3 linked regions of the Arabidopsis thaliana genome follow. The protein of the gene in region 1 interacts with the protein of each later gene in a pairwise test. Each region holds a gene or a part of one and is shown in the gene's direction. Other genes may lie near its edges. The genes, in order: HAT2, AT2G19650 and PPR2.

The links.
Region 2: the proteins of HAT2 (region 1) and AT2G19650 interact in a two-hybrid assay, tested with the Arabidopsis thaliana proteins (one large-scale study listed by BioGRID).
Region 3: the proteins of HAT2 (region 1) and PPR2 interact in a two-hybrid assay, tested with the Arabidopsis thaliana proteins (one large-scale study listed by BioGRID).

Annotation. Positions count from the first base shown.
Region 1 is NC_003076.8:19,214,085-19,220,783, reverse strand, and holds HAT2 (Homeobox-leucine zipper protein 4 (HB-4) / HD-ZIP protein), read left to right. Parts: upstream 1-2,776; 5' UTR 2,777-3,136; coding exon 3,137-3,287; intron 3,288-3,422; coding exon 3,423-3,733; intron 3,734-3,816; coding exon 3,817-3,896; intron 3,897-3,992; coding exon 3,993-4,302; 3' UTR 4,303-4,513; downstream 4,514-6,699. Other genes in the region: AT5G47360 (Tetratricopeptide repeat (TPR)-like superfamily protein), read left to right, coding at 4,906-6,339; AT5G47350 (alpha/beta-Hydrolases superfamily protein), read right to left, coding at 6,466-6,699. UniProt on the Arabidopsis thaliana protein: Probable transcription factor that plays a role in auxin-mediated morphogenesis. Negatively regulates lateral root elongation.
Region 2 is NC_003071.7:8,491,993-8,499,341, reverse strand, and holds AT2G19650 (Cysteine/Histidine-rich C1 domain family protein), read left to right. Parts: upstream 1-3,449; 5' UTR 3,450-3,638; coding exon 3,639-5,687; 3' UTR 5,688-5,873; downstream 5,874-7,349. Other genes in the region: PRMT1A (protein arginine methyltransferase 1A), read left to right, coding at 1-64; AT2G19660 (Cysteine/Histidine-rich C1 domain family protein), read left to right, coding at 550-2,622; ASHR2 (ASH1-related protein 2), read right to left, coding at 6,745-7,349.
Region 3 is NC_003074.8:1,954,493-1,961,017, reverse strand, and holds PPR2 (Tetratricopeptide repeat (TPR)-like superfamily protein), read left to right. Parts: upstream 1-2,713; 5' UTR 2,714-2,777; coding exon 2,778-3,104; intron 3,105-3,226; coding exon 3,227-4,360; 3' UTR 4,361-4,609; downstream 4,610-6,525. Other genes in the region: ATG8H (Ubiquitin-like superfamily protein), read left to right, coding at 4,744-4,786, 4,884-4,939, 5,344-5,396, 5,501-5,619, 5,711-5,799.

The DNA of each region.
Region 1 (6,699 bases):
ATCTTTATTTTTGGCATGGGAATCTCAATGATCGATCATATTATTACCATTAGTAATAACAAGCCTCAATTTTAACGTCAAAAAATAATCAAAACTGTCACATACGCATTTTCGTTAATAATTAAAGCTTAGTGTTTATTTTTAAAATACTATAAGAGTCCAACAATCATGTGATGCAAACCTCAAATTCCGAGCTTCTCTAGAATAAGAATAAGCTGCTTTGTGTGATGATCATAATTATGCATGTTGATTGATTTTTCCTAAATCTAAAAAATAATCAAATATTCCAGTTAACAGATCTCAGTACATGTGAGAGGACAATTAGACAAAATCTAATGTACTATTTGTTTAGAGAATAATTGGTTAGTTAGGTTAAGGAAAAAACAGAGAGTATAAAATATCCCCAATGATGACCTCGTTCTACAGCCAAAATGCTGTAAAGAACATTCAAAGCTAATATACACATGCATGAAACATATGATTAAGCAACTAAAACCATGATTATTAGTCCTACGCAATTGCCAAACATATAAAATGATTACAACACATACTTTTAAAATATTCCGTTGCCTATGATTTTGTTTTGTGTTGTGGTACTCAACTTTGGATTTGGATCTGTGATGTAGGCCTGCAGCTTTTATTTCAAATAATATATATATATTTTATTTCCGAAGGAAACTAAGTAATCGAAATGGTGTATTCAATTCAATATTTCACTTATCATGTAAATTGAGAAACTAAGGTAAGACTGTAAGAGAATGCTCATACCCTTCTGCACTACCTCCAAATAGACGAGGCTCTACTGAAAAAATCGGAATAATGTGAAATAACAAGTTGCTGTTTGGACGCCATATCTCAATTTGCTATATCTACAAATTAACGATACCAAAGTGCTAGTAGGGGCTAAATGCAGAAATTTAAGCCATTCACCATTACGGATAGAACATGAAATTCTCATTTAAGCTATGCTACTTGAATATGTTCTCGTTAAGAATTGTTTCACCCTAGTGCAAGATCCGCGGTCATGCTCAATTAAGTGCTAAAAGTTAGACTAGTAGACCAAATTTGAATCCGATATATATATTACCTTGGTGCCGAACTCAAACTTAGACATGCTCGAACCTCAACACCAAGAACACTCGATGTTTTTGCCAATACTTACATAAAAGCTATTGGAGGATCACTAATAAATGATTGATCATCAATCATCATGCTTTGCGGACTCTCTTTTTCGTTGAGGGGTAAATGATTACAAATAAACATGCGCGCGTGGATATAACGCACTTGGTCAGTGCGTGTGGCACAAGTCAGAGTGAACACGTGGGACAGCCAGATCACACTGAAACACAACTCCGACATCTTGTCGGATCTTATGTAAAGCGTTGGGTCCCACTTTTCATAATATCTCTCACCACGAAACCCATCTTTTTGCTCTCAATTATTGTCGCTCATTGCCGTATCTCTTCATAATTTCACTATATACATGTCTACGTTAGGCGGAAATTATTAAATTGTTTTTGGAATTTTAGTTTACATGTTATTTTTTTCTAAATAAACATGAAATATATTTACAAAAGTATATCCAAACCATCATTTTTTTATTGTTTACATATACACTAATGACACTTTTATTTGGATTGTGAATTATGATTATGCAACGATCACTAGTAGTTTACTAGAACAATTAAGTTTACATGCTTCAGGCATTGTAAAACAACTATTTACAAAAACTGAAGTTAGTCTACAACTAGTTTTTGTGAAAAGAAAGGAATATTAGACGATAAAAAAGTAGGCAGCAGTTAAAGGAATCAAATAATTAACAAGTTAGCATTGATTGAGGCGGATGGTTACACATGATAAGGAGCAGGCGAGTGAGGAAACAACACAACACGCACGATCACGCTGTTATGACCCACATGCTCCTATCTCCATGTTACTGTACGCAAAGTGGTTATACATTTACACACACTTGACCAATATTGCTCACATTTAAATTTTTATTTCTAAAGGAAAAAGCACAAACATTTAAAGGTTTTACTGACGGAAGAAACGAAAAAAAGTAGTAGCTTTAAAATGTCATTGTTGATGAAAGTAGAAACCATGATGATGATATTTATGTGCAAATATTCATCTCACACGTATATCATTGGTTCATAACCGTTGGTTGGTCCACAACTTTGAACAAGTTCAGATTCTTTTTGATTGTGTTTTGTACCAACCACTCCAATTAGTCAATATTCCATTATATCCAACCTCAAATACTATTTTCCCTTTTCTCTTTAAAAAATATTTGGACAAATAATTGGCTACACTATTGGAGATTTGACTCAGCTCGGTATGCCGTAACTAATCAAGATACTATTTTCTATACTTTCTTTTATTGATATCCACATAATACATGTACTTTGAGTATAATGACGTGTACTTGATTAAGACAAAACGAAGTACGAGAATTATTGTATTTATCAACTTTGAGACATACTACATGATATGGATCATGAAAATTAACACAAGTAGTGCAAATTGCGTTATCCATATACAAAAAACATCGCACCTTGATGATTCACTTAATTGTAGATTACTTTCTCAGAGTGGTCCGGACATTTCTATTGGTTTTAAAGACATTGGCTTTAAATCTTCAGACACAAAACACATATACATGTGTACACTTGAAAACATATTGGCCATCTTATTTGTTTTGGACAAACTGCCATCTTATTATGCATGGGTTCTTGTAAGGAATAAACTAAAAATGTTTGTGAAAGAAAAAGAAAAACACAAATATTGAGAAAGTACAAAAAGAAAGACATGGCAAAGGCCAAAGGGGGGACACAAGTTGGAGATAAAGTAATACAAGTCCAAAAACAAAGAAACAATAATGATGGATTGTAATTAGCCACCTGACAAAATCTCTCATCATTCAAAGTACTATATTAATCCCCTCTCTTCTTCATTACCATCTCACATCTCTCTCTATTTCTCTTCCACAAAGAGTCCTAACTTCGAGTTGAAACAAACACCATTTCTCATCTCTATCTCAGAAAGAACAAACCATTTCGTGTTCTTTCTTTCTCTATTCTCATAAGGAAATATAATTCCTGAAACTGTTGAGTTCTTGTGAAAGGAAATAAAAAACATGATGATGGGCAAAGAAGATCTAGGTTTGAGCCTAAGCTTAGGGTTTTCACAAAATCACAATCCTCTTCAGATGAATCTGAATCCTAACTCTTCATTATCAAACAATCTCCAGAGACTCCCATGGAACCAAACATTCGATCCTACATCAGGTATATACTTAAATCTTCTCTGTTTTTTTTTTTAAAGAAACAGAACAGATTTCAGAATTGAAGTATGAGACTTTTCTTCGTTTCCAAGTAAAATAAAAACAGATCTCAAACTTAAAATTTGATTGCTCTTTGCAGATCTTCGCAAGATAGACGTGAACAGTTTTCCATCAACGGTTAACTGCGAGGAAGACACAGGAGTTTCGTCACCAAACAGTACGATCTCAAGCACCATTAGCGGGAAGAGAAGTGAGAGAGAAGGAATCTCCGGAACCGGCGTTGGCTCCGGCGACGATCACGACGAGATCACTCCGGATCGAGGGTACTCACGTGGAACCTCAGATGAAGAAGAAGACGGGGGCGAAACGTCGAGGAAGAAGCTCAGGTTATCAAAAGATCAGTCTGCTTTTCTCGAAGAGACTTTCAAAGAACACAACACTCTCAATCCCGTAAGTGTAAAAAAGTCAGAGGAATCAAATGATAATTATCGTAATTACTTTGAAATAACCAAGGTTATTATCATAATTTACAGAAACAGAAGCTAGCTTTGGCTAAGAAGCTGAACTTGACGGCAAGACAAGTGGAAGTGTGGTTCCAAAACAGAAGAGCTAGGTGAGATTTTCTTGTCTTAACACCAAAATTGTAAAATTACATTTATACCCCCTTGTGTAGAAGTTTTTACTTACAAGGTCCGATTTGGTTTTACAGAACCAAGTTAAAGCAAACGGAGGTAGATTGCGAATACTTGAAACGGTGCGTAGAGAAGCTAACGGAAGAGAACCGGAGACTTCAGAAAGAGGCTATGGAGCTTCGAACTCTCAAGCTGTCTCCACAATTCTACGGTCAGATGACTCCACCAACTACACTCATCATGTGTCCTTCGTGCGAGCGTGTGGGTGGCCCATCATCATCGAACCATCACCACAATCACAGGCCCGTTTCTATCAATCCGTGGGTTGCTTGTGCTGGTCAGGTGGCTCATGGGCTGAATTTTGAAGCCTTGCGTCCACGATCGTGATTTTTTATTTTAGTGGTGGGAAAAGGGTGTTTTGGTATTTTTCGTTATCGTTATATAGTCTATCTGTGTGGGGTCATTGTAATTTTGGATGATTGGCCTTCTCATGAACTAGTCCTATGTATGATGCAACCTTAAAAAGATTTAAATTAGCAAAAATTAGTTACAAACTTGCTATATTAACCAAAAATTATGAAACTATCTTTTTTTGATATCTTACAAGAGTTCTAAATTAAACCAAAAATTCACAAACGTCTTCTAGATAAATACACAGTTTCTGAGCATGGTATAAGTGTAGCTTATATGCAGTTGCTCAAAAAAGAAAAGAAAAAGAAGTGTAGCTTATTTGAAGTTCTTAACGAAATCATGAAATCTTGTGACCTAATCTGACTTCAATTGCTTTTCCGATTCAGATCTGACAAAGATGTATGAGCAATTCTTATTGGGTCTTAATGGGCTACATTATTATGTCGGCCCATACGTTTAGTCTTTCGTCGTCGTTTCCATCTGCGAAAGCGAAACTCTCCTATTTCTCTCACTCAAGTCTCATTCTTACGATTTTCTTAACGAAATCTTTCATCAATCGCTACACTTATAGCGACCCAGATGCCAAATTCATTGATTTCTCGTCTGGTATCTCCTTCATTACGATCTCAGCCCTCAAAAATCTCAGCTTTACGTTTTTTAACAACTGTCTCAGCCGCCGAGAGATTATACGGCCAGCTTCAAGGATGCACAAGTAATCTCGAGAAAGAATTAGCTTCGGCTAATGTACAATTAGACTCCTCTTGTATCAACGAGGTACTAAGAAGATGCGATCCAAATCAATTTCAATCGGGTCTTAGGTTTTTCATATGGGCAGGAACTCTATCCAGCCATAGACACAGTGCTTACATGTATACCAAAGCTTGCGACATTCTTAAGATTAGAGCAAAGCCAGATTTGATCAAATACGTTATTGAATCTTATCGGAAAGAAGAATGCTTTGTTAATGTTAAGACGATGAGGATTGTTCTGACTCTGTGTAATCAAGCGAATCTCGCTGATGAGGCATTGTGGGTATTAAGGAAGTTTCCTGAATTTAATGTATGTGCAGACACTGTTGCGTATAATTTGGTGATTAGGTTGTTTGCTGATAAGGGAGATTTGAATATAGCTGATATGTTGATAAAAGAGATGGATTGTGTTGGTCTTTATCCAGATGTGATTACTTATACGTCGATGATCAATGGGTATTGCAATGCGGGTAAGATTGATGACGCTTGGAGGTTAGCTAAGGAGATGAGTAAGCATGATTGCGTGCTTAACAGTGTGACGTATTCTAGGATTCTTGAAGGAGTTTGCAAGTCTGGTGATATGGAGAGAGCGTTAGAGTTGTTGGCGGAGATGGAGAAAGAAGACGGTGGTGGATTGATTAGTCCGAATGCGGTTACTTATACTTTGGTGATTCAAGCGTTTTGTGAGAAGAGGAGGGTTGAAGAGGCGTTGTTGGTATTGGATAGAATGGGAAACCGAGGGTGCATGCCGAATCGTGTTACTGCTTGTGTTTTGATTCAGGGGGTTTTGGAGAATGATGAGGATGTGAAGGCTCTTTCTAAGTTGATTGATAAGTTGGTGAAACTAGGCGGTGTTTCTCTTTCTGAGTGTTTTAGTTCGGCTACTGTGTCGCTAATCCGTATGAAAAGATGGGAAGAGGCTGAAAAGATTTTCCGTCTGATGTTGGTCCGCGGGGTTAGACCTGATGGTCTTGCGTGCAGTCATGTTTTCAGGGAGTTATGTTTGTTGGAAAGGTATCTCGATTGTTTCCTTCTGTATCAAGAAATCGAGAAGAAGGATGTGAAATCAACAATAGACTCGGATATACATGCGGTTCTTTTGCTCGGTCTCTGCCAACAGGGGAATTCTTGGGAAGCTGCTAAGCTTGCGAAATCAATGCTTGACAAGAAAATGAGATTGAAAGTTTCTCATGTTGAGAAAATCATTGAAGCCTTGAAGAAAACTGGTGATGAAGATCTCATGAGTCGTTTCTCTATTGATTAATTCAATTTATTCAGATAGTATGCTTTTATTATTCATATAAGAAGAAGGATTATTGTGTCACACAATCATCACTGAGCTTATTCGACATTGGATGAATTAGTATAGCGATTGAACTATTTGCTCATTTTAAGGATGCAAGGGCTCCTTGGTCTTGCGGTTGAGTCTTGGTGGGGCAGACTGTTGATCCTGGAGAAGAGGTACGACGTATTTGACGAGATCTTCGTCCGCCATTATTAAGTGGTCACCGGTTACATTCACAAACTGCACTTTTCCAGCAACAACCAATGCTTTCAGACCTATCCAATCTTCTATATAGAGCTTTGTCTCTTGAACAGGGAGAACATGTGTTAAGTCACCATC
Region 2 (7,349 bases), on another chromosome or scaffold:
CAGCTATTCTTTGAACGGCCAACATTGCAATATCTCAAGGACCCACTTCTATAAGATGCGCTAAAAGCTCTCAGAGGATGTAAAATCCCCCACAAGTACCTTTCATCATCTTGAGGCTGAGATGGACAAATCTCATTTGTATCTCTACTGTTTCCATTATTGCTGCTTATGTTTCAGAATTAGATATTAACCATCTCTCTCTTTCTCTCTCACTGTGCGTCTCTTCCTCTATGATAGTTTCTTGTTCCTCTCGACCACAATATTCGTTTGGTTCAAGAAACCTAAGCAAATACGACAATAGTGTATATATCACACAACTAATTACAATTTGATTTGACCGCTTACAAACAAGTTCATTCAGATGTAGAGAAGGATCGATAACAAACTTTAAAAATTGGATATAGTCAGGCCTTGGAAGTATCGCCTTGGGTCAGACTTTAGTTGTTTCACATGGCGTGGACGCTGGATCTCAGTGGCAACAATAATCAATATTTCACGTGGTATGGCATTAATTTTGATCATATGCATTATTTGATTATTCATCGTTATATGCCCACTTTGAGAGATCCGATAGAAACAAAAATAGAAAAGAAAAACATCACAAAAGAGATCTGTGGTTTGATTTGGATCACCATGGAAAAAGTAGAGGTACCACCAATTCATAACCATCCGCTGTTACCTTTTACTCGTTTTTCCTACAAGGCTTGTAAAGGGTGTGGGTATGTTGGTTACATATATGGAGGCTACCATTGCAATGAGTTGGGGTGTGAATCTGTGTTTCATAAAGAGTGTGCCGACCCGTTACCAGAAATCAACCACTATTCTCATCCAGACCATCCTCTAAAGCTCCTCATAAATGTCGAACCACTTGCTTCTTGTAGCCAGTGTCCATCTTCGTTTGAAAATGGTTATCTTTGTTCGATTTGTGACTTCAAGTTGGATTTTCGTTGCGCGACGAGGTTGCCTTTGGAATTTATTCTTGAAGAATCCACTGTCCACGAGCATCCGATTCAGCTCTCTGATGGAACCCGTGACGGTTTTGTGCAACTTTGCAAAACATGCAAATGGGGAGTTTTCGATGCTGTTCATTACAAATGTAATAAATGCGATTTACGCTTTCATGTGGAGTGTACCAAACTTTTTCCACAAGCTAGCCACGTTTTACACCCCCAACACCCACTCAAGCTCCTTAGATGTGAAGAAGCACCCGATTACGCCGACAACAAGTGTCTTCTTTGCGGGAATAAGTTTGACGGACGAATTCACCACTGTGATGTTTGTAACTTTACCATATGTGGCGGCTGTATGGAAAACCCACCGCCGCTTAGTGTTGTAAGCCCGACCACCCATGAGCATCAACTTTATCTTCTTTCAAAACCTCTCGGTTTCACTTGCAATGCTTGCGGGACTCAAGCTGATCAAAGCCCTTATTTCTGTCTTCAATGCAACTTCATGATTCATTGGGAGTGTATCGATTTGCCCCGCGTCATAAACATCAACCGCCACGATCATCGCATCTCCTACACTCGTCGTCTTGGACATGGGCAAAATACATGCGGGGTTTGTCGTAAAAAGGTTGATGGCTTCTACGGGGGTTATTCTTGCTCAAAATGTTCTAACTATGTTGTTCACTCGAGATGCGCAACGGACGAGGATGTATGGGACATGATAGAGCTAGAAGGGACACCCGAAGAGCCAGAGGAAGATGCGCCATTCGAGGTGATTGATGATAACACGATCAAACATTTTAGCCATGATCATAACTTAGTAATCAACAAGGATGGGAGGATTCTCCATGAAAGCACACTATGTAAAGCATGTGTCTTCCAGATCTGTTCAGATGCGTTCTACAGTTGCGAGAATTGTGACTTCATTCTCCACCAAAAATGTGCTAACCTGCCTCGGAAGAAACGGCATGTTTGCGACAACCTACCATTTACCCTAGTCACAAATGATACTTCAGACGAAACTTCATGTGATCTTTGTTGGCAAAGTTTCACCGGTTTCAGGTACGAGTGTCTTACTCGTATGGTTACTCTAGATGTACGATGTGGTTCAATTCGAGAACCATTGGTGCACCAAAGCCATCAACATCCCTTATACTTTTCGAAACGTAGTTCTAAGTCTTGTACGGAATGTGGCAAAAACATGGATCTAGATATAGGAAGCTTTAGCTGTGATGAGTGTGACTATAGTTTGGACTTCAAGTGTGCTCTTTTACCGCAGAAAGTAAAGTGGCATAGATACGACGATCATCCTCTTTACTTGTCGTGTGGTGAAAGTAGTGTGGATGGAGAATACTGGTGTGAAGCATGTGAAACAAAAGTGAATTCGAAGAAATGGTTCTATACATGCAATGATTGTGGTGTCATATTGCATATTTCATGCGTTGTGGGAGACTTCTCATATTATATGCCAGGTTCCAAAATAGGATGGGAGGAAGACTTGGTGGTATCCAACACCTCTATGTGTAGACCATTTTGCTATGTGTGTAACTCTCAATGCAAGCTTCCTTCCATTGTTAAGGTCGTTTCCAAAGCCGATGTTGTTTTATACATTTGTTCTTTAAACTGTTATTATAATTTCAACCGCTCTAATAACTACTCTAGTAGTGATTGGTAAGGCATGTTTTAATGAAGAAAAACTTTGTACCATTTAATTCCAAAAGTATGTTTTACAATAGTTTTTTTTTAACCTCAAGCTTATGCGCTTTTTCCACAATTATCAATCTTTTGAATCCAGTCAGCAGCAGTCTCAATGATCTTAGAAACAGAATTTCTTAACAGGATATTTAAAAGAACAAGTTTCTTGACATTAGAGCTGGAACTGGAATCTGGTCTCTGTTTTGTGCTAAAGCAAGAGCAGCTCATGTATACGCAGTATGTCTTTTTAACTTCTTTATTAATCAAAATTTGCTCTGAGTGATTTGAATACATGTGATTTGACAAATGATTCTTCGAATGTTTCAGATGGTATATATATGTTAACTTTATAGTGTTATTCAAATGGGTTATACAATCTGATGGTGGAAATAGAACTTACTTTTGGCTGTATAAAAATTAAAAAACAAAGATTGGCCCAATCCTGGTCTTAAAGACAAAAATACAAATCTTTTGGTCTGAAATTACATAAAAGTTAGTGGATGCAATACAATAATAAAACTTTGGTTTCAGAGACTTGAATGCAGCAAAGTCTACCTCCAAAGCTACTTGGCCAAGGAGTTGTGTGGTTCAGACTTCAAACTGTTTTTTCCACAAAATGTACAGTTCCATCCATTTAAATTCTAAACTATTCTATCCATAAACTTCTATTCCATTTAATGCAAGAAAAAACCTTTTTTGTATTCATTCAATTATTTATGTTTTGGCCGGACACAATAGTTGCAGAGTCAACATATGTGGTCTGAGTTAATTAAATAATGCAAGGATGAAGCCAACACATGTGGTCTCAATCTCAGTAATGAAAAGAATCATTTCTGTGGTGCGAATTCATATTAACTATTTGCAAAGTCTGAAAATGATAAACCACTTGAAAAAAAATCCTGAAAGAAAAGAAAGAGAGAAAAACAAGAAACCAAGTCTGAAACTAGTGCAGAAGAGAAGAGCTTTGTGTTTTGGTGGAAGTAAGAAAACATCACCATGGAAAACTTTCTAGCTTTGTTTAATGAAGGCATGGACGAAGAAGCATCCCGCCTTGAAAAATTGTTACCATTTCATGAGCATCCGTTGATACCTTTTACACGCTTCGAGTTCACCAAGTGTAAAGGATGCTACTCGACCGATGAAGATAATACAAGCTTCATTTCCAAACATCCCGGTTGCAGTTACATTTACGGAGGACACCGATGCAATGAGCCGGGATGTGATGTTGTGTTCCATGAAGAGTGCGCCAAGCCGTTACCAGAAATCGACCACCCTTACCATCCAGTCCATCCTCTCAAGCTGATCCTCCTACATACCAGAGTTTCTAATTGTAGTTTCTGTGGAGAATTTTTCAGTGTCGGTTATCGCTGTAACAAATGTGATTTCCAGTTGGATTTGATTTGCGCGAGGAGACCAGCCCTACTTGTTCTTGCTGAAAACTCCTACCTACACGAGCATCCACTCCAACTCTCCCATGAAGCGCACGAAACACTCAGAGATTGCAAAGGGTGTGGCCATCAACATAATAGCTGGAAACATTTCTACACATGTCATCAATGCGAGTTTTTCATCAGTCTGGATTGTATCGATCATAATAGTCCAGAAGCATACCACACTTCTCACCCCCAACACCCACTCAAGTCACTTAGATATGAAGTCCCTGGTTACGCCGACAAGAAATGTCTTCTTTGCCGCGAGGAGTTTGATGGAATCCATCGCCAGCTTCACCACTGTGGTGTTTGTAATTTTAGCATATGCAGATCATGTATGAAAAACCCACCACCGGTTCTTGTTAAAAGCCCGAGGACCCATGAACATCAACTTCACCTTGTTCCAAGACGCATTGACTTCACTTGCAATGCTTGTGGGACGCTAGGTGACCGTAGCCCTTATTTCTGTCTTCAGTGCAATTTCATGATTCATCGGGAATGTATCGATCTACCTCGCGTCATAAACATCAACCGCCACGACCACCGCATCTCTTACACCCCTCGCCTCGGACATGGAGACGGGAAATGCAGAGTTTGTCGTAAAAATGTGGATGGGTTCTACGGGGCTTATTCTTGCTCCAAATGTTTTGATTATTTTGTTCATTCAAGATGCGCAACCAGAAGGGATGTATGGGACATGATCGAACTGGAAGGGACACCCGAAGAAGAGGAAACTGCGCCATTCAAGGTGATTGATGACAACACGATAGACCATTACGGCCATAAGCATAACTTACGAATTTACCGTGGCTGGAATCTACCAGAAAGTGTAGTTTGTACCGCATGTGTCTTCCAGATTTGTTCAGAACCGTTCTACGCTTGCGCGAGAAAGAGATGCGATTTCATAATCCACGAAAAATGTGCCAAGCTTCCTTTAAAGAAACGTCATGTGTGCCACAACCAGCCACTCGAACTATCCCCAAATTATGGCACCTACTTGTTACATAGGTGTAGTATTTGCCGTCAACTGTTCACCGGTTTCTCCTATGAATCTAAGGAATTAAGGATAGATGTACGGTGCGCTACAGTTACAGAACCATTTGAGCACAAAAGCCATCAACATCCTTTACACTACTCTACAGATCACTCCAAACGTTGTAGTGAGTGTGATGGAGACGGGAAATTGAGTTGCGATGATTGTGAATTTGGTTTGTGCTTCAAGTGTGCTATTTTACCGCAAAAGGTAATGAGGCATAGGTACGACGATCATCCTCTCTTCTTATCTTATGGCGAAATGGGCGTGGCTGGCAAATATTGGTGTGAAGCATGCGAAACAACTGTGAACCCAGAAAAATGGTTCTATACATGCAATGAGTGTGGGATCACATTGCATATTTCCTGCGTTATAGATACTTACGCATATTCCATGCCAGGAGCGTTAACATGGATAGGAACATTTGTATCCAACCACTCTATTTGTAGACCACTTTGCTGCGTGTGCAACTCTCGATGCAAGCTCCCTTTCGTTCGTACGCTTCCCGAGGACGGAGCTGATCTATACTTTTGTTCTTTAGAATGTGAGAAGAAAATTTATCAGGAACGTTTCGAATTTTAAAATTATGTTCTTTACTATGTTTAGAAAACTATTTATTTATAGATGATAATGTTTGCTAGCTTGAATGACTCGCAAATTTGGTAGAATTTGTGAGGAATCTGGGTCTGTTAAATTATTACAAGTCCCTACAATAACATTTGGTTGTGTACTTGTGTTAGTGTAATATATATATATCTCATTGAACCCTAGGGTGCATTAGTGTTTGCCAAATAAAAACCAGAAAAAATATCAACTTATTTATGGATGTAAGATTGGAAAAGGTTGGATCAATCTTGCCAGTCAATCCACTAAATGTTTAAGTTCCTACAAGTCGAAATGTCAATGACAAAAACAGAGACGTGGAAGTGAGAACAGAGCAGAGCAAAACAGAACATAGCAGAGTAAGTCAGTCAGAGCAGGTTGTGTTGTAGAATCACATTAGTTCTCTGATAGAGAAGCCAAAAAACTCAGTTTGTGTTGTTGAACTTGGAACAGAATGAGAACAAGTTAATCACTAAAAAATGTTTGTGTCACCGTCATGTTGCGACCTTAAAACAGAGCCCCCTAATAATTTTTTGTTACACTGGTTCTATTGAATCTATTTTATGGAAAAACTATTACACAATTTGGTTTACCAATACATTGATCCCTATCAAGGAAGCTATGGTTTCAGGCACTGAGCACACTGAAGAGTAATAGAGATTAACAATGCAAACATCATCAAGCCATGTAATTCTGCAGTTTTCAACTTAAAAAGTCAAAAAAATTATGATTTTTCATTCAACCAAAGAAAACTGATGCTCCATTATTACAACAAAACTGTTTCCGTGTAATTCCACAGACCATTACAATTGATTCTTCAGACTATCTAGGAGAAAACAAAAAACCTAGATATGGAATTCTAGAGCTAGAATACTTATCGAATTTTCAAAACTGAGTAAAAAAAAAAAAGTAAACATCAAACAACAAACAACATTGATTAACGATGTGGTCCAAGACAAGTCTCTTGTTGTTTGGGTCTGGCTGCATCAAACAAGCTTGAGATTTTCGGCTGATCAATTCTTTAAGCTAACCTTCCTCATTGATTTACGCCAACTTCATCCTCCTTAACGCTTCCACAAACATTACATTCAAGAACTCTCGAAGCATCATGAGTCTTCGGGGGAAGCGGAGCTAGAGTGCCAAAACAATTCTCCTTCTCACACATATATCTCACAAAAAAGTAAGCATGAGGAAAATTAGATTCATCATCCACACCATTTCCACAAACTTCTTCTTCATTCTCACCTACTGAATCTTCCATCTCTTCTTGTTCATCTTGATCCTCCATCTCTTCCATAATCTCATTCTCATCTTCCTCACCTTCAGACCAACTAAATTCCACTTTGCACCGATCACAGTCACACTTAAAACCGTAATCCTCAAGCAATCTCTTTTGTCTACTCGAATAGTTCATGTTCACAGGGAAGTAGCTTAAACAAACTTCTCTACCTTCAGGAACATCATGAATCATCCTAATGATGATATCAGTATTACCATCAGAAGCAGAGTCAACATAATCGAATCTACAAGCATTAGGAAGACAATCATGATTGAAAAACGAAGTCTTTGGATAAATCCCATAAGCTCGCACAGATCTTTTCTCATTCGAAACAGAGCACGGTTCCATCAGACCAAAGGCGT
Region 3 (6,525 bases), on another chromosome or scaffold:
AACTTAATGTCCGAGGAAGAATAGAGTTTATTCGTTTTATAGCTGAACCTTGTAAAAGGTTGCCTACGTACCCTTAGAAAGGGATCAAGCCACACGTAGTTCATATTAGAATAAGTGAGCTAGGCCGTCATTGGAGGTAGGTCGGCAGGTAGTTGACGAGGGATGAGCTATAGCTAGACGAGGAGTTGGACGAGCTGACTAGCTGACAGCTAGGCGGCGAGGACATGGTCGCTGTGATGGGAAGAGCTTGAAGACGAGCTGAGGAGCTTGAGGACGAGCCGAGGAGTTTGAAGAGCTGAAGAGCTTGACGAAGAGGAGCGAGCTGATGAACTACTTGAGAAGGGCCCAATCCGACCCCTAACAAAGACTTATGTTTAGATATGTTTTCATGCGATCCAAACTATACTATATATTTTTTTGGACGGATTTTTTAATAAGTTTTATGGAGTTCACAGACGAGTTTGAACGAAGCGTTTTCTTTATATATGTGCTATGCGAAATAAAAACTTGAAGACAAATTTAAATAATAATGTGATGTAGTAGGGCAATTGCATAATCGATAAATCCGGATAAGTGTGCCCCGATACAACAAAAGCAACAACGTTTACGAAAATTTAACAAGTCCAAAAGTAACAGACATGATAATAATATCCTCATTACAAAACTCAACACACGATCAAAATAAGTGAAACATAACATAAACCATAAACCCTCAAGTTTCAATACGTATCAGGAGATTTAATGGGGGGGGGGGTTAAAATCATATACTCCTCCTTGCCGAACTATTAGGGGTCGGATTGGGCCTACTTGGCCCAATGCCCAAACCCAAGTCAAAAGCCCAAAATAAGTTCCAAACCAAGGAGGAGTATTAAGGCGAAGGGTAGTTTCGTCAAATCCCTCGATGAATGCCCTACACGCGTAGTGCTATAAATACGGAATAGCATGTCATGTCGAAGGGGGGAATTCCGCCTGACACGCAGACACAGAGTAGCTCGCCTTTCTCAAGTAGCTCGTCAGCGAGCCCTTCTCAAGAAGCTCGTTAGCTCGCTCCTCTTCGACAAGCTTATCAACTCGTTCTCTTCACCAAGTCCCTCAGCTCGTCTTCAAGCTCTCCAACTCGTCTTTAAGCTCTTCAAACTCTTCAGATCGCCATTAAGCTCAACAAGCTGCTAAGCTCGTCTTCAAGCTCCTCAACTCGTCTTCAAGCTTCTCAGCTCGTCTTCATGCTCCACTCAACGACCATCTCCTCGTCTAGCTGTCATCTATACAGCTCGTCCAACTCCTCGTCTAGCTATCAGCTCATCCCTCGAAAACAAAACTCATCTACCTCCTCGCCTAGCGGCAGTTCGTCCATTGACTGCATAGTCCACCTATCTCGTCGTCCAGCTCGTCTAGACCTTCAGCAAACAACTCGGTTTATCCAACTCGTCTCTCTACCACGGTTCATCCAGCTTGTCGCACATCTGCCGGCTCGTCAACTACCTGCCGACCTACCTCCAATGACGGCCTAGCTCACTTATTCTAATATGAACTACGTGTGGCTTGACCCCTTTCTAATATGGACTACGTGTCGTCTCGCTTGACTATCACCGAGACAGCACATTGTCAGCTCGCCCGTCTCACGAAGATCGTCCGTCTCAAATAGCTCGTCAGCTCGTCCTTCTCAAGTAGCTCGTCAGCGAGCCCTTCTCAAGAAGCTCGTTAGCTCGCTCCTCTTCGTCAAGCTTATCAACTCGTTCTCTTCACCAAGTCCCCCAGCTCGTCTTCAAGCTCTCCAACTCGTCTTCAAGCTCTTCAGCTCGCCTTAAGCTCTTCAGCTCGCCTTTAAGCTCTTCAAACTCTTTAGCTCGCCCTTCTTACAAAAACAAAAAAGGATATCAATTATGTAGATCAAAACAAAAACAAAAAAGGACTTACAAGGACGTAGATATCAATTATGTAGATCAAAGAATAAGCAGTCCAAATTCCAGCGTTGATGAAACGAACTAACGATAGCCAAAACGGCATGTACTTGAAGGTCTTAGTCTCCGGCGGCATTTTGTCCTAATTGTTTCACGCATTAAAAACTTATCAAAACCAGTTTAATAGTTTACTTATCTATATATTCATCAATAAGTGAGAGCCAGAGAGAGAGAGAGAGCTTACTATGGTAAATAAAAGATAGATGATAACAATGTTGTAAACGTTGCAAACAACACCAATGAATGTATGCTTGCCGGCCGGATAAACTCCCAAATCCCCAGATAGTCATACAATAGACTGTTGCCACAAAACTAAACTCCAACGGAAGCAATAGATAAAAGAGTAATATCTGCACATCAACATCGACATCATCAAAATCAATATACAATATTTTTCTGGATTTGTTTTTTTTTTCTTTGGGATATTTCTATAGAATTTAGTCAAGATTGTGTTTGTTTGTTACCACCTTTTGTGCACCAGTCACCAATCCTTATTTTTATTATTAAATCTATTTTTGATACTATAATTCGTGATTTTCCTTTTAGTTTTATATATATATATACTTACAGAGATGCGAGCTTCATATTATTATTTTTATCTTTTTGAACACCAAAAAAATAGCCTCGTATTATTTTTAAATGATCAATTATGTGATCATATTTAAAAATACGATCCGGTTTTTAAGGGATTTGAACGGATCAAATGTGTTTCCGGTTCGGTTATATAAACCGGTATTTTACCATATCCAACCGAAATGAGTATCGACGGGAATTATCCGTAAACAGAGTGACAGTGAGGTGTGAAGGAAGAAGACGATGGCGTCAATGTCTCTCTCCTTTTCTTCTTCGCTATGTTCATCCAGAATCCCCGAAGGTAAGCGTAGGTTTCGTCACAGAGATGTGGGCATCGTTAGATGCGTTTTGGCTGCTTCGAAATCTTCTCCGGGAAGTGTTACGAAGAAGAGGCTTTGGAAAGACGGCGAATTCCCCGGAATCACGGAGCCGGTTAATCAGAGAAGAACTCCGATAAAGAATGTGAAGAAGAAACTTGACAGGAGAAGCAAAGCTAACGGATGGGTTAACACCGTCACTGAAACTTTGTCCGATCTCATCGCCAAAAAGCAGTGGTTACAAGCTCTCGAGGTATTTCGATTTTCTCTCTTCTCGTTCATGTTTGATTGAATTTGAACTCAATTTTGAATCACGAGTATAATTTAGCTGAAAGATGATTTTGATTGAATTGGGTATTTTGTTGATGATCTTAGGTTTTTGATATGTTGAGGGAACAAACATTTTATCAACCAAAGGAAGGAACTTACATGAAGCTGCTTGTTCTTCTCGGTAAATCTGGTCAACCCAATCGTGCACAGAAGCTGTTCGACGAAATGCTTGAAGAAGGACTTGAACCAACTGTTGAACTCTACACTGCTCTTCTCGCTGCTTACACTCGCAGCAATCTCATCGACGATGCTTTTTCAATTCTTGATAAAATGAAAAGCTTTCCTCAATGCCAACCTGATGTTTTCACGTACAGCACTCTGCTCAAGGCTTGTGTGGATGCTTCTCAGTTTGACTTGGTGGATTCGTTATACAAGGAAATGGACGAGCGTTTGATAACTCCAAACACTGTGACCCAGAACATAGTTTTAAGTGGGTACGGTAGGGTCGGAAGGTTTGATCAGATGGAGAAAGTTTTGTCTGATATGTTGGTGAGTACTGCTTGCAAACCCGATGTGTGGACTATGAATATCATCCTTAGTGTGTTTGGAAACATGGGTAAGATAGACATGATGGAGAGCTGGTACGAAAAGTTCAGGAACTTTGGGATTGAGCCAGAGACTCGGACTTTCAATATTTTGATTGGTTCTTATGGGAAGAAGAGAATGTATGATAAGATGTCGTCTGTCATGGAATACATGCGAAAGCTAGAGTTTCCGTGGACAACATCAACCTACAACAATATCATCGAGGCGTTTGCGGATGTTGGTGATGCAAAGAACATGGAGTTGACATTTGATCAGATGCGTAGCGAAGGTATGAAAGCAGACACAAAGACCTTTTGCTGTCTCATAAACGGATATGCCAATGCCGGTCTTTTCCACAAGGTGATAAGTAGTGTTCAGTTGGCTGCTAAGTTTGAGATACCCGAGAATACTGCCTTTTACAACGCGGTGATATCAGCGTGTGCTAAAGCAGATGATCTGATAGAGATGGAAAGAGTGTACATAAGAATGAAGGAGAGACAATGCGTATGCGATTCAAGAACGTTTGAGATCATGGTCGAGGCGTATGAAAAAGAAGGTATGAATGATAAGATCTATTACTTGGAACAAGAGAGGCAAAAGCTTATGGATCGCACTGTTGCTACAAAAGAGATGGAGAATCTTCCGGCAGGATGATTGCGGTTTGTGTGTGAATCTCTCTCTCTCTCTCTCTGCAAGGAGAGATCGATGTCTCACTTGAAAGAGTAGAATAAAAGAGTTTGTAATACACTTGATTGTTCTTGCAGCTATGCGTGTTATATATTTTGATGGGCCCAAAATTATGAATAGAGGCCCATAGATAAACTGTGACGTGCACAAGAAATCGGACAAGTCCAAAAAGTGGATAAGTGCGTGTCGTCTTTCTATAAATAATCTCTTTTCTCTCATCTTTTACCGTTTCTTCTCGAACAATCAAAAACGAACTAACCAAACATAAAATTGAACACATCCTCTTCCTCTGCTCTCTGCAAACAAAAAAACACCGATTCGGTCAGGAATCATTCGTCGTGAAATCTGTAATGGGGATTGTTGTCAAGTCTTTCAAGGATCAATTCTCCTCTGGTTTGTTCTTCGTTAATCTCTTTCTGATTCTTTGGAATTTTTTTTCCTTCGAAATGTGCTTCTGAAGCAAAGTTTTCATCTTTGTTTGAGGATATAGATGAGAGATTGAAGGAGTCGAACAACATCATTGCGAAATATCCAGATAGAATACCTGTAAGTTATTTCATAAATTTCATGTTTGATTTGTTTCTTGGTGTTTCCGTCTTAGTTGCCGTGCGATTGTGGATTTCCTTAGGGTTCGAATGATTTACTCAATTAAAAAAAAGTCTTCGTTTGACTTGCATCTCTCGAATTTGCTAGAATCTCTGTTTCAATCTTAGAATTTCTTCGCCATGGTTTGATGGATACGATCTGGGATCTGAAATTTGACTGATTTTGTGCGGTTTGGTGTTGATCCAATCACTCTGGTCAATGTCGGAGACGACTTCTTTAGTTGAGATTTGATCTATCACCAACAACAACCCAAACCAATTTGATTTAGGGATTTGGATCTGTTCTTGGTTTGGTTTCTTCATCAGATTCCAGCATTTATGGATGGGTTTTATTTACTTATGTAGGTGATCATTGAGAAATATTCAAACGCAGATCTGCCAGACATGGAGAAGAACAAGTGAGTTGTGACATCAATTTAGCTGTTGGACCAAACCAAGTGTAACCTGTCTAACTGTGAATAATCTTGTTTTTAACTCTGTATCCCGCATTTGTTTATTGTAGATACTTGGTCCCACGAGACATGACTGTTGGACATTTCATCCATATGCTAAGCAAAAGGATGCAGTTAGATCCATCCAAAGCTCTCTTTGTTTTCGTACACAACACTCTTCCTCAAACCGGTAAGATAAGAAGTATCATCATCCATGTAGAGTGAGACTTTACCTGCAGTTTTCCAAAGCTTTCCATTAACACTTGTCTTGAATTATGCAGCTAGTCGCATGGACTCTCTCTACAATACTTTCAAGGAAGAAGACGGGTTCTTGTACATGTGCTACAGCACCGAGAAAACTTTCGGCTAACAAAAGATTTGTCGCTTCATATCGAAATCGAAGCGCACTCTGAATAATCCATTTGTTTGATTCCTATGTTTGTGAATAACGTCAGCTCTTGTTGTTACTGTTATTGTTGTTGTTAGCTGACATTGTACAGAAAAGCTAAAAAAAAGAAAGACATTTGACTTTGTAAATTATGTATAATCCAACTATGGCAATAATAATAAGACCAAGTGATGATGATTCACACGAAACTCTTTTTGCGTTTTGTTCTTCCCTATAAAAAAAGAAAAGAATATAGATACTTTCGTGGAAGCACGTAAGTTTGGGGAGATGTGGTAAAATGAGACCTAAAGAAATTGCAATGTCGGTGCGGCGGTAAACGTGTACCCTACGACTTGGATTGTGTGTTTTATGCGATAAGGTTTTTAAGAAAACCGCAATTTTTAGAATATTGTTTATGTATATCCATCCATCATATGGTTAATCTTCTCTACAAGTTTATTTTGCCTCTTTTGTTTATACACATTTTATGTTCCGATTACATATTTTATTCCTTCTTAATCATCACTTCTAACATGAGGATTTAAAACTTTTCTGTTTCCAACGAGTTTATAACTACTTAATTAATGCCTCTATTTTAGTTCAATAGTGATTAATGACGCGTTGGCACCATCTCAAACTAAACTCAATATTTCGGAGCAAATAAAACAAAATTTCACAAGGAGACCAATAATTGATCGAGTATATTCT